Linked DNA regions of Xenopus tropicalis. The protein of the gene in region 1 purifies or fractionates together with the protein of each later gene. This does not show direct contact. Links are inferred from orthologs where the notes say so. Each region holds a gene or a part of one and is shown in the gene's direction. Other genes may lie near its edges. The genes, in order: rps6ka3 and fgfr2.

Evidence for each region.
Region 2: the proteins of rps6ka3 (region 1) and fgfr2 purify together in Homo sapiens (affinity purification with mass spectrometry; 3 studies listed by BioGRID and IntAct, counting the BioPlex papers as one, with this or other methods). This does not show direct contact. The link is inferred for Xenopus tropicalis from reciprocal best matches to the Homo sapiens genes RPS6KA3 and FGFR2.

What each region holds. Positions count from the first base shown.
Region 1 is NC_030678.2:43,846,676-43,851,103, reverse strand, and holds the start of rps6ka3 (ribosomal protein S6 kinase alpha-3), read left to right. Parts: upstream 1-1,622; 5' UTR 1,623-1,940; coding exon 1,941-2,003; intron 2,004-4,428. UniProt on the Homo sapiens protein: Serine/threonine-protein kinase that acts downstream of ERK (MAPK1/ERK2 and MAPK3/ERK1) signaling and mediates mitogenic and stress-induced activation of the transcription factors CREB1, ETV1/ER81 and NR4A1/NUR77, regulates translation through RPS6 and EIF4B phosphorylation, and mediates cellular proliferation, survival, and differentiation by modulating mTOR signaling and repressing pro-apoptotic function of BAD and DAPK1.
Region 2 is NC_030683.2:19,258,078-19,262,602, forward strand, and holds the start of fgfr2 (fibroblast growth factor receptor 2 precursor), read left to right. Parts: upstream 1-1,535; 5' UTR 1,536-1,921; intron 1,922-4,525. UniProt on the Homo sapiens protein: Tyrosine-protein kinase that acts as a cell-surface receptor for fibroblast growth factors and plays an essential role in the regulation of cell proliferation, differentiation, migration and apoptosis, and in the regulation of embryonic development.

The sequences.
Region 1 (4,428 bases):
TAAGAAAAAACCTCCACACTTAAAGGAGAAGGAAAGGCTAAGTCACTTGGGGTGCCAAAATGTTAGGCACCCCCAAGTGACTTAGATCGCTTACCTCTTACCCCGGGCTGGTGCCCATGTACGGAGAGAACAGCACCAGCCTGGGGTAGCTGTAGCGCTTCCTCCTTCCTTTTCTCTTGCGCGCGCATGCGCTGTAGAGTGAAATGCCGAACTTAAACAAGAAAGTCGGCTTTTCACTCTACTGTGCATGCGCCGGCCGACGGATTTCGCCGGCAGAAGATAAAGGAAGGAGGAAGCGCTTCCTACAGATACCCTGGGCTGGTGCTTTTTTCTCCTAACAGGGGCACCAGCCCAGGGTACGAGGTAAGAGATCTAAGTCACTTGGAGGTGCCTAACATTTTCGCACCCCCAAGTGACTTAGCCTTTCCTTCCCCTTTAAGCAGGTAATTATTTGTTACTGGAAACTGCAAGCATCACGTCATAGGACCCTCTCCTAACTACCAACGCTGGCAGGGGTCCCTAAACTTTCTTACATATGAGTCACAGTCAAATGTAAAAAGACTTGGGGAGCAACACAAGCACCATAAAAGTTCATGTAGGTGCCAAAGAAGGGCTAAGATTGGCTATTAGGCAGCCTCTATGCACACTATCAGCTTACAGGAAGCTTTATTTGGTAGTAAATCTTGTTTTTATTCAACCAAATCTTGCCCCCAAGTCAGGAGCAACAATAAAAAGTTGATGCGCAACATATTGGTTGGGGATCCCCCTTGCTCAAGTGTGGCATATTTTCACAAAACATCTCATATTTACTAAAAAATCATAAGTACAAATTTTCTTTTGGCATAAGTACTCTTTTAAAGCATTGTATTTTCCCTGTACAATTCTAGTGGTTAAAATTTGCTAGAGAATAAATGACATGTGGGATATTAGCATGGAAGAGATAACATAGAAAATGAGATGCAAAGTGGCCAAGGTGTCATTATAATGGAAGTTTGCTAGCCTAAACCTGGAGCCATTTCTCTTGGCTAGCATTCGTTCCTGCGCTATTCATAAATTGGCAAATATTTCACACTAGAAAAATTTTTACCTTGGCGAAATGAGGTTAATGTTTTGTTTCGATTCACAAACAATTATAATCCTTTATAGTAAATTGCCAACGTTGTGGCAAATTTTTATTTTCGGTAACAATATGCCAACCTCTGTAAATATGCCCCTATGTAAGAGATAACACGCACAAATTGCGCAAGGTACAGACTGCCGGAGAGACATCCTGCGAGAGAAAGAAAGCTGTCACTCACAGAGAGAGAGAGAGACCGGAGATATTACATTTATAGAATAAGCACTGCATTTCCCTTACATCCACTGAAGGCATGAGCAAAGCTTACATGAGCTACAAACACTGGCCAAATCTTTCTTTATCGAAGGAGTGTAAAAAGGCATGAATCTGTATACAAGAACGGAAGTCAAGGCTGGGAACCGGGGCTCACCCACCCATATACCCACCCATATACCCACACATATACCCACACACAACCACGACACAGCGTCTAGCTGAAACCTTATTCATTTGCGTAACCGGAGACTCATCTAACATGGGAGGGCAGGCATTCCGCCTATGACGCAATTTTACCCAGAATCCTCTTCCCCCGACTGTCACCTGTACTCCGAACTGAAGGGAGGGGAAGGCCGCCCACTGCATGTGACGTAGGGGTGACGCGCACCGTGCCTTGCTGCGAGCGGCAGGTACCGCTGGGGACGCCATGTTGTGAGAGGAAGTAAAGATCTGTGTGAGTGAGAGAAGGGAGAAGAGCTGTGCTGGAGTGGTTCTGGCTTGCCGCGCAGTACCGGACAGCTCACGGTGACTCTAGGGGGGCGGACTGGAGCTCGGTCACTTTGGTGATTTTTGGGGACAATTGCTGGAATCACATCGGGTTGAAAAGATGCCGCTGGCGCAGCTGGCAGACCCGTGGCAGAAAGTGCCGGTGCAGAAAGTGGGAAGCGAGGTAAGATACAAATAATGGAAGGTGCGGGTATCTCGGCCAGAGAGAGAAGGGGACACAGTCCTTTCACAGGGAAGGGTTCCGCCTGATCGGCACTTATCTCTTTCCATCCCGAATGAGTATGAAAGTGTGAGTGCTTCGGGCTATCTAGTTCGGGCAGTAGTACAGACTCCCTGGCACTCCAGCTTCAACTTTTAGCAGCTCCGTTTCTTACCAGCTGCGTTTCTGAGAGGATGCTGGGAGTAGTAGTAACACAATAGCGGGAGTGCCAGAACATAACTATCTCTGGGCTGTTTAACTCTTTCCATCTTGCAGCACTCACTGACAGCTCTTGGTGGGGAATGCCAAGTAGCAATTGAGTTACAGGGGAACTCCACGCTGAAAATGTTTTTTTTTTGCATAATAATAGAAAATGCTATTCTGAACAACTAACTAATATACATTAAACGTTTTAGTTAAAAGTTATTTTCAAGCATAATTGCTATTGAAAACGGAATCCTTTGCCTTTCTGGTTCTGACTCCAGCTCCTTAACAAACCTGGAGAGTTGACCTGCTACATTGTTTCAACAGTCAGAAACTGATAACATTAAGAGATGTCTATAAAGCCACTGAAAATGTTTAATGTAGAATGGAAAGTTACTTTTGGGTGGGGTTGCCCTTTAAGGACCTGGAGGTAGTGGATTTAAGACGCATTTATATTTTTAGTTCTTTTCTTTTATGTGTTTTTGTCTATTTCTTATTAAGTAAGAGTTCAGCCTCCTATAATATTGTGTGAAGCCATAGAATTAGTAATGTACGTTATAGCTAAATTGGTTATTGGATAACAAATTGCATGTATATGACCCTAGAATTCCAGCCCTTTCTCGGAATGTTTACATTCTATTAATAGAATCTCATTAACCCTCTAAATAATTCTCCACATTATTCATAATGGCTGAAAGAACTGGTAGAAAACTGGCAGCAAATGGCAGAATGTAGCCATGTACAGGTCTGTACTTGTCTCCCCTGCCTTTGGAAACCCACCCCTACCTTTTATAGTTAGTGATAGACCAAGTGGGGTTTATTTTGTGCCATTCACTAAAGGGCAGTTAGACCAAATAAAAAAAATTGTGCTAGTGCACGTATTTATGCCTTGCAACAGGAATGTTTCTGTAGATAAGAGGCTGCAAGAGACTGGCATTTGTAGGTTTTGTAATGTGCAGATGTGGGCAATTAAGACATAAGCTCTGTTGTAAATATAGAAGGACGAAGGGAGGTGTCTTTCACTTTATACTGCAGGGACTAGAAGTGAAATGAAGGAAAGCACACAGGGCAGTGCCTGATAGTGTGCAAGTGAGCAGAGCAAAGGTACTGCGCTGCAGGTAAAGGAGATTTTAGAGATTCAAGGTTGAATGACTAATTGAGGGCTAGGAAAGGAGTGACGATGTGACAAAGTGCTGGCAGCCAATGCCGTTCAGTAATTTGACAGGAAGCGTTCCAAGATAATTTGGCAAGTTTAATACTCATTGTCTTTATAAAACCTCCAATTTAAGGCATGGCGCATACGTCTGCCTTACAGTTTAATTACACACACATATCGGTTCATTTGGGATCAGTTGTTCCTGTTTGGGTAGTGTGTTTGATATATAGAACCTGGCTTTATAATTTATATGTTTAACATTTGAAATCTTGTACATCAGCAGCTTAAGCTGTATGCTCATCTGTTTTATATCCAAAACAAAGGAAATGGAACAGAATACATTGTATCTTTGCACCTGTATTTATAAATATAGTGTGTATCATTTCTAGTAAACACAAACATATTTCTCAAAAACCACCTAAAGGGGTAATGCACACTAAAGACTCAGATTATTGGTATTGCTGCATAGCCCACGCCACCTCTAGCGGAACCTAGGAAATCATCTTTTAGTAACTGGTGGGAAGCTGAAGCACTTCTAGTATTTGTGTGTTCTTGGGTGTACAGGAAGTCCCTAAATAAACTGTCTCTTGCCTCTTCCTGTGCATCAATCTTTGCTCTCTTCTTAGTTGTCTCTGCAGTCACTTTTGAAAGCTACAGAGCTGGTTTGGTCAGTAAAATTACTGTGATTTTCTGGAAAGCTTTCTATATTTTATATGCACTCTGGGTTGGGGGTCTCAAATGTAAATATGCAAATATTTTTTTTATATATATAATATTTACAATTCACAATGCAGATTCCATTGAACAATATATTGCTAACTAATTACTTATGTGTATGCACGCAAATTTCTCTTTTTTTCTATTGCTGTTCTCATTCTTTTACTGAGCCAACAAAATATTCTATTCCTGACCTTTCTCTGACGTTTTTCTCCTTATTCCTCTGTAACCTGATGACCATTGCTGAATGTATTTGCCACCAAATAGGGAATTCTGGGATGGAGGAGGCAGCATTTCTAAGCAAAGGGGCTT
Region 2 (4,525 bases), on another chromosome or scaffold:
GTGCCTACTAACTGCCAACTCTTCCTACCTGTACCTGCTGCTCCTTGTGACCCCCACTATGTAAGGGACAGTGTCTGGGAGTCAAAATAGGCCCTGGTATTTCATGTACAGAGAAGCCCAAACAGCCCCCCACTAGCCCAATAAATAGTGAGTGTCTATGGCATCTTACAGCAGCCCCTCTGGCATTTGCCAGAACCCACAGATTGCCAGTCCGGGCCTGAGTGTCACTATTTATATAGATTGTAAGCTCTACGGGGCAGGGACCTCCTTCCTCTTGTATCCTCGACTCTCAACTTATTGCTGCTGTATTTATCTGTATTTATTATTATACTTTGTATTTATCTATTATCTTATTAACACCCTGTTTGTATTAATCTATTCTACTGTACAGCGCTGCGTACATAAGTAGCGTTTTATAAATAAAGATATACATACATACACACATATTTGTACCCTTTCAAGACACAAATTATCTGTACAGTAGAACTTTCCAGCCTTCCTTTGACAATGACTGTATTTTAGATTGTAAGTTCTTTGGTGCAGAGGCTTACTCTTACTTTATATAGCTGGCATTTGCCAGGACCCACAGATTGCCAGTCGGGGCCCGAGTGTCCCTATTTGTACCTTTTCAAGACACTAATCATCTATACAGCAGAACTTTCCAGCCTCCCTTCGACAGTGACAGGATTTTAGATTGTAAGTTCTTTGGTACAGAGGCTTACTTTATATAGCTGGCATTTGCAGAATCCACAGATTGCCAGTCTGAGCCTGAGTGCTGCAATCTGTACCCTTTCAAAGCACTTTTTACCAATCACCTATTCAGTAGAACCTATAGAACCTTCCAGCCTCCCTATAGCAGTGACAGTTACAGGATTGTAAGCTCTTTGGCACAGAGGTTTATTTTCTACTTTGTATAGCTGAATATAATTAGTAGCGCCATAAAAATATTACTTATAATATATTTATAATTAGGCAGTAGAAGATTATTTTTCTCTTGTTAACATTGCCAACCCTATTGCCCAATGGCGATGCAAGTACACAGTATGACATCACTAAAATACTGTGACCTCACCGGTGATCTTAATTTTTTTTTTGTTTGTTTAATGATGAGGGGGGTATGAAGAGAAGATAAATATTAGGAGAAGGAGATGGAAAATGGGAGAGAAAGAGAGCGCACATAGCATAGTAATTCCAATACAAACAAACCTTCCCCAGTCTGTGCAGTGATGTATGCCAAAGTGTGGGGCAGGCACAGGGGGAGGGCCAGCAGGGCTTGGGGAAGGGAGACTGGGCCAGGGGAGAGGAGCTGCTCCAGCATTGGATGAAGGGAGGGATGAAGGCTCAGGTTCCAGACAGAGGGGAGTGACTCAGGGAGGAGGAAGGGGCTGGGAGTGAGGATGAGGAGTGAGGGGGAGGGAGGGAAAAGTCACACAGACTTTCCATTGCCCCTCACACACGGGATCTACACTGGGTTGCACCTCTCACACATCCACTTTTGGGAACTTTCCCTACCTATTACCTTATTGTTTGTGGCTGCACTGCTGCCTGGAAGGGCTTGGCTTGCCTGGATAGCACTTACCGGGATTCCTATGCACTGAACCTTGCGGGATTCATCACTGTGGGACTATCAGGGGATTGGTGATTCACTCAGAGAGAAAAGAAATCACAGAGAACTTACTCATTCACCCTGCAAAGGGGATTCTGCCTGTTCCCCTCTTTGGAACCTCACTGGCTTTGGCTGCTGCTGGTTACCGGGCTCTGAGTCGGGATCGGGACTCGCTCACCCTGCGCTCGGAGGGATACGTATTTCTCATTGGCTGAAACGGGACTTGGGAATCTGTCCCCTGGGACACACGGAGTCTTGCCAGGCACACGCCTGATGCAGGGCTGAGGGGATTTTCTTACACCGCCATCTCTCCAGGTAATGCCAACAAACCCGCAACGTTGTAACTCTAGGAGGGGCTTCTCAGCCTAATAGAACTGGGGTACAGACCCCCACAGGGGATATACCTGTGTCATGTCATTGGTTAAACTTGTCTAAAACTCCTTGCTTTAATCAGGTAATGAGGAAATCGCTGTGCGTAATTGGAAGCGCAATGCGTTAAATTCGCTTTGCCGCACAAAACCGCTGCAGGGTGATGTTTGTTGCATATTTTACTTTATGGTCTTTATTTATGGGAGCAATGCATGATAATGTGGGTTGGTGTTTTAGAACATTTAAAACAGCTTTAGATCGTTATGAATTTTGAAAAACATGGACTTTTGCCCAGCTTGTATTTATTGCTGAAGTGAATGGTACTCAAGTGCCTACAAGAAATTGGGTTTAAATATTAAAGCTTTCTGGCATGTTTGGCCACTATGAGGCGCTATATTATTGGAGTGAGTGGATAATATTTAATTTTACCCCTGCCATGCAAGCTGTGTGGTAGCTCCCAGGATTGATGTTGGAAAGTTGTTGTAGAAGGCGCTATGTCTATGTGTTATTATAATTGTTATAGACAAATGGGATCAAAGCAATCATATTTCCCAAACTAAGAAAAGCTGGTAATTAATGGTCAAACTTGGGTGATAATGGTCAGCCATTGGGCAGCCTACAAGTGAGCGGCTTTTGACTGCCCAAAGCCTGTTGCAGTTGAACAACACCTTGTGTCTCAACCCTTTCTCCTTGTAGATTGTAAGCTCTTTTGGGCAGGGCTCTCTTCACCTCCTGTATCGGTTATTGATTGCTTTATATGTTACTCTGTATGTCCAATGTATGGAACCCACTTATTGTTCAGCGCTGCGGAATATGTTGGCGCTTTATAAATAAATGTGAATAATATGGAGGGCCACTGCGGCCTGCATTATGGTATGCAACAAAGCATGCTTTGCCCCAAGTAGGTTTATGAATGTAACATATAAACATAGGCCCTTGGTCATGACCAGACAGTCTAAATGCCACTCTCACTATTATCTGATGCTTATAGCTTACTGGGGAATTCTGGGAGTTCCAGATCAGCTGGAGGGCTGCAGGCTGGACAAACAACATTGCAGAATGTGGATTTGCTTTTACAGGTTACAATGTTATACCCGTGGGTACCCCTTGTGCAGTAGGGGAGTGCGACTCCTGATTGCTCCTAAATGCTCGCTAAACAATAGGGTCTTTCTTTGTACAGTTATGTATCACAATGGGCACGAATGCTGGAACCCACCGGGTCTGATGGACCGGTTGCTATGTATATGCATAGAGCAGAGCCACAAGCCACATTTACATTTCCACTGTGTACATACGTAGGGCTGGACAAGTAAAGGGTCATGGAACCAATGCAGGATCCATTGCGTGCCTTTGCCCTAGGGTTTGACAGGACTGTTTAGGTGCTAAGATGCTCGAGGGGCCCAGTACAAGGGGCACGGACAGTCTGAGTAGTAGTGTGTATGTACCCTCGCTATGTCTGTGTTTGCATTCATGTACTAACGCTATCTTGTAAAGACTGTTTTATGTAAAATGTCCTGGGGGCAATAATGCACCCCCAGGTCCTCATATTTTGGATATTTGCATGAATATTTTACATGTTCTCCTCCTGCTGAGCCTAATATTGCCTGCCCCACAGCAGCCCCTTCGGCTTTTAATTCTCTTTATTTGTCCTCCTTTATTTTCTACGCAAAACTCGGCAACATCAGGGTTGGGGGGGGTGCTTCCTACAGGTTAAACGAACTGCCGATCCATTAATGACAGGTTTATAGTCTGCATCGGGCAAGGAAGAAAGGGGCTAGGATTCTACCCGTGAGAGAGGCCTGTTAGGTGTTTAGCACCCACACAGCGGGCAAAGCCACAGACGCATTACAGGCCCCTGAACGCAGCCCAACAAAAGCTTCACATTTTGGAAAATTCAGGTTTTCTTTATCATTATAAAAAAAATCCTTGCAAAACATTCCTTTGTCCCACCGGCCGTGAATTCCTAACCCAGTCAGCGTGGTATCTGGTGTTAATCAAGGAACTGACTTGAAGGCTGTTTGTAAAGGGGGAAAAAATCCATCTATAATGTAAAGGTTCCAGGGGCTGCATGTAAAATCCCTGTGTGCCAACTGCTCTTGGGACTGTGCGTTGGTGTTTGCATTTTGTTGTGAAGCTCCATTGTACCTTGGTGTCGGAGCTTGGTCTAAAAAGATAACAACCCTTTTACAAATCTCCGTACTGGATGTGTTAAGTGTGAAAAAGTGCATTGTGGAGCCCTCATTAAATGTACATTGTGTGCTGGAATCTGGGGTGCATACAATGGGGGAATCCGTGGCCAAGAGGGAGGCTGAATTCCTTGGCTTTATATGAGAGTGTACATGGTGCCCCCGCTCATTGTGCGGGTTTAATGGGGGTTGCACTAAAGCCCCTTGATAAGTAGGGATTGAGGCACGGTCTCCCCTTCTGTGGAATCTCAATTAAAATGCAGATTAGGGCTATTTTCTGATCTTGGCCAAACCTTTAGATAATAGAAATCTATGGTGGAGTGCTGGGGGAGGAAGCCAAAAACTTCTTGGAAAGAAATGAGAA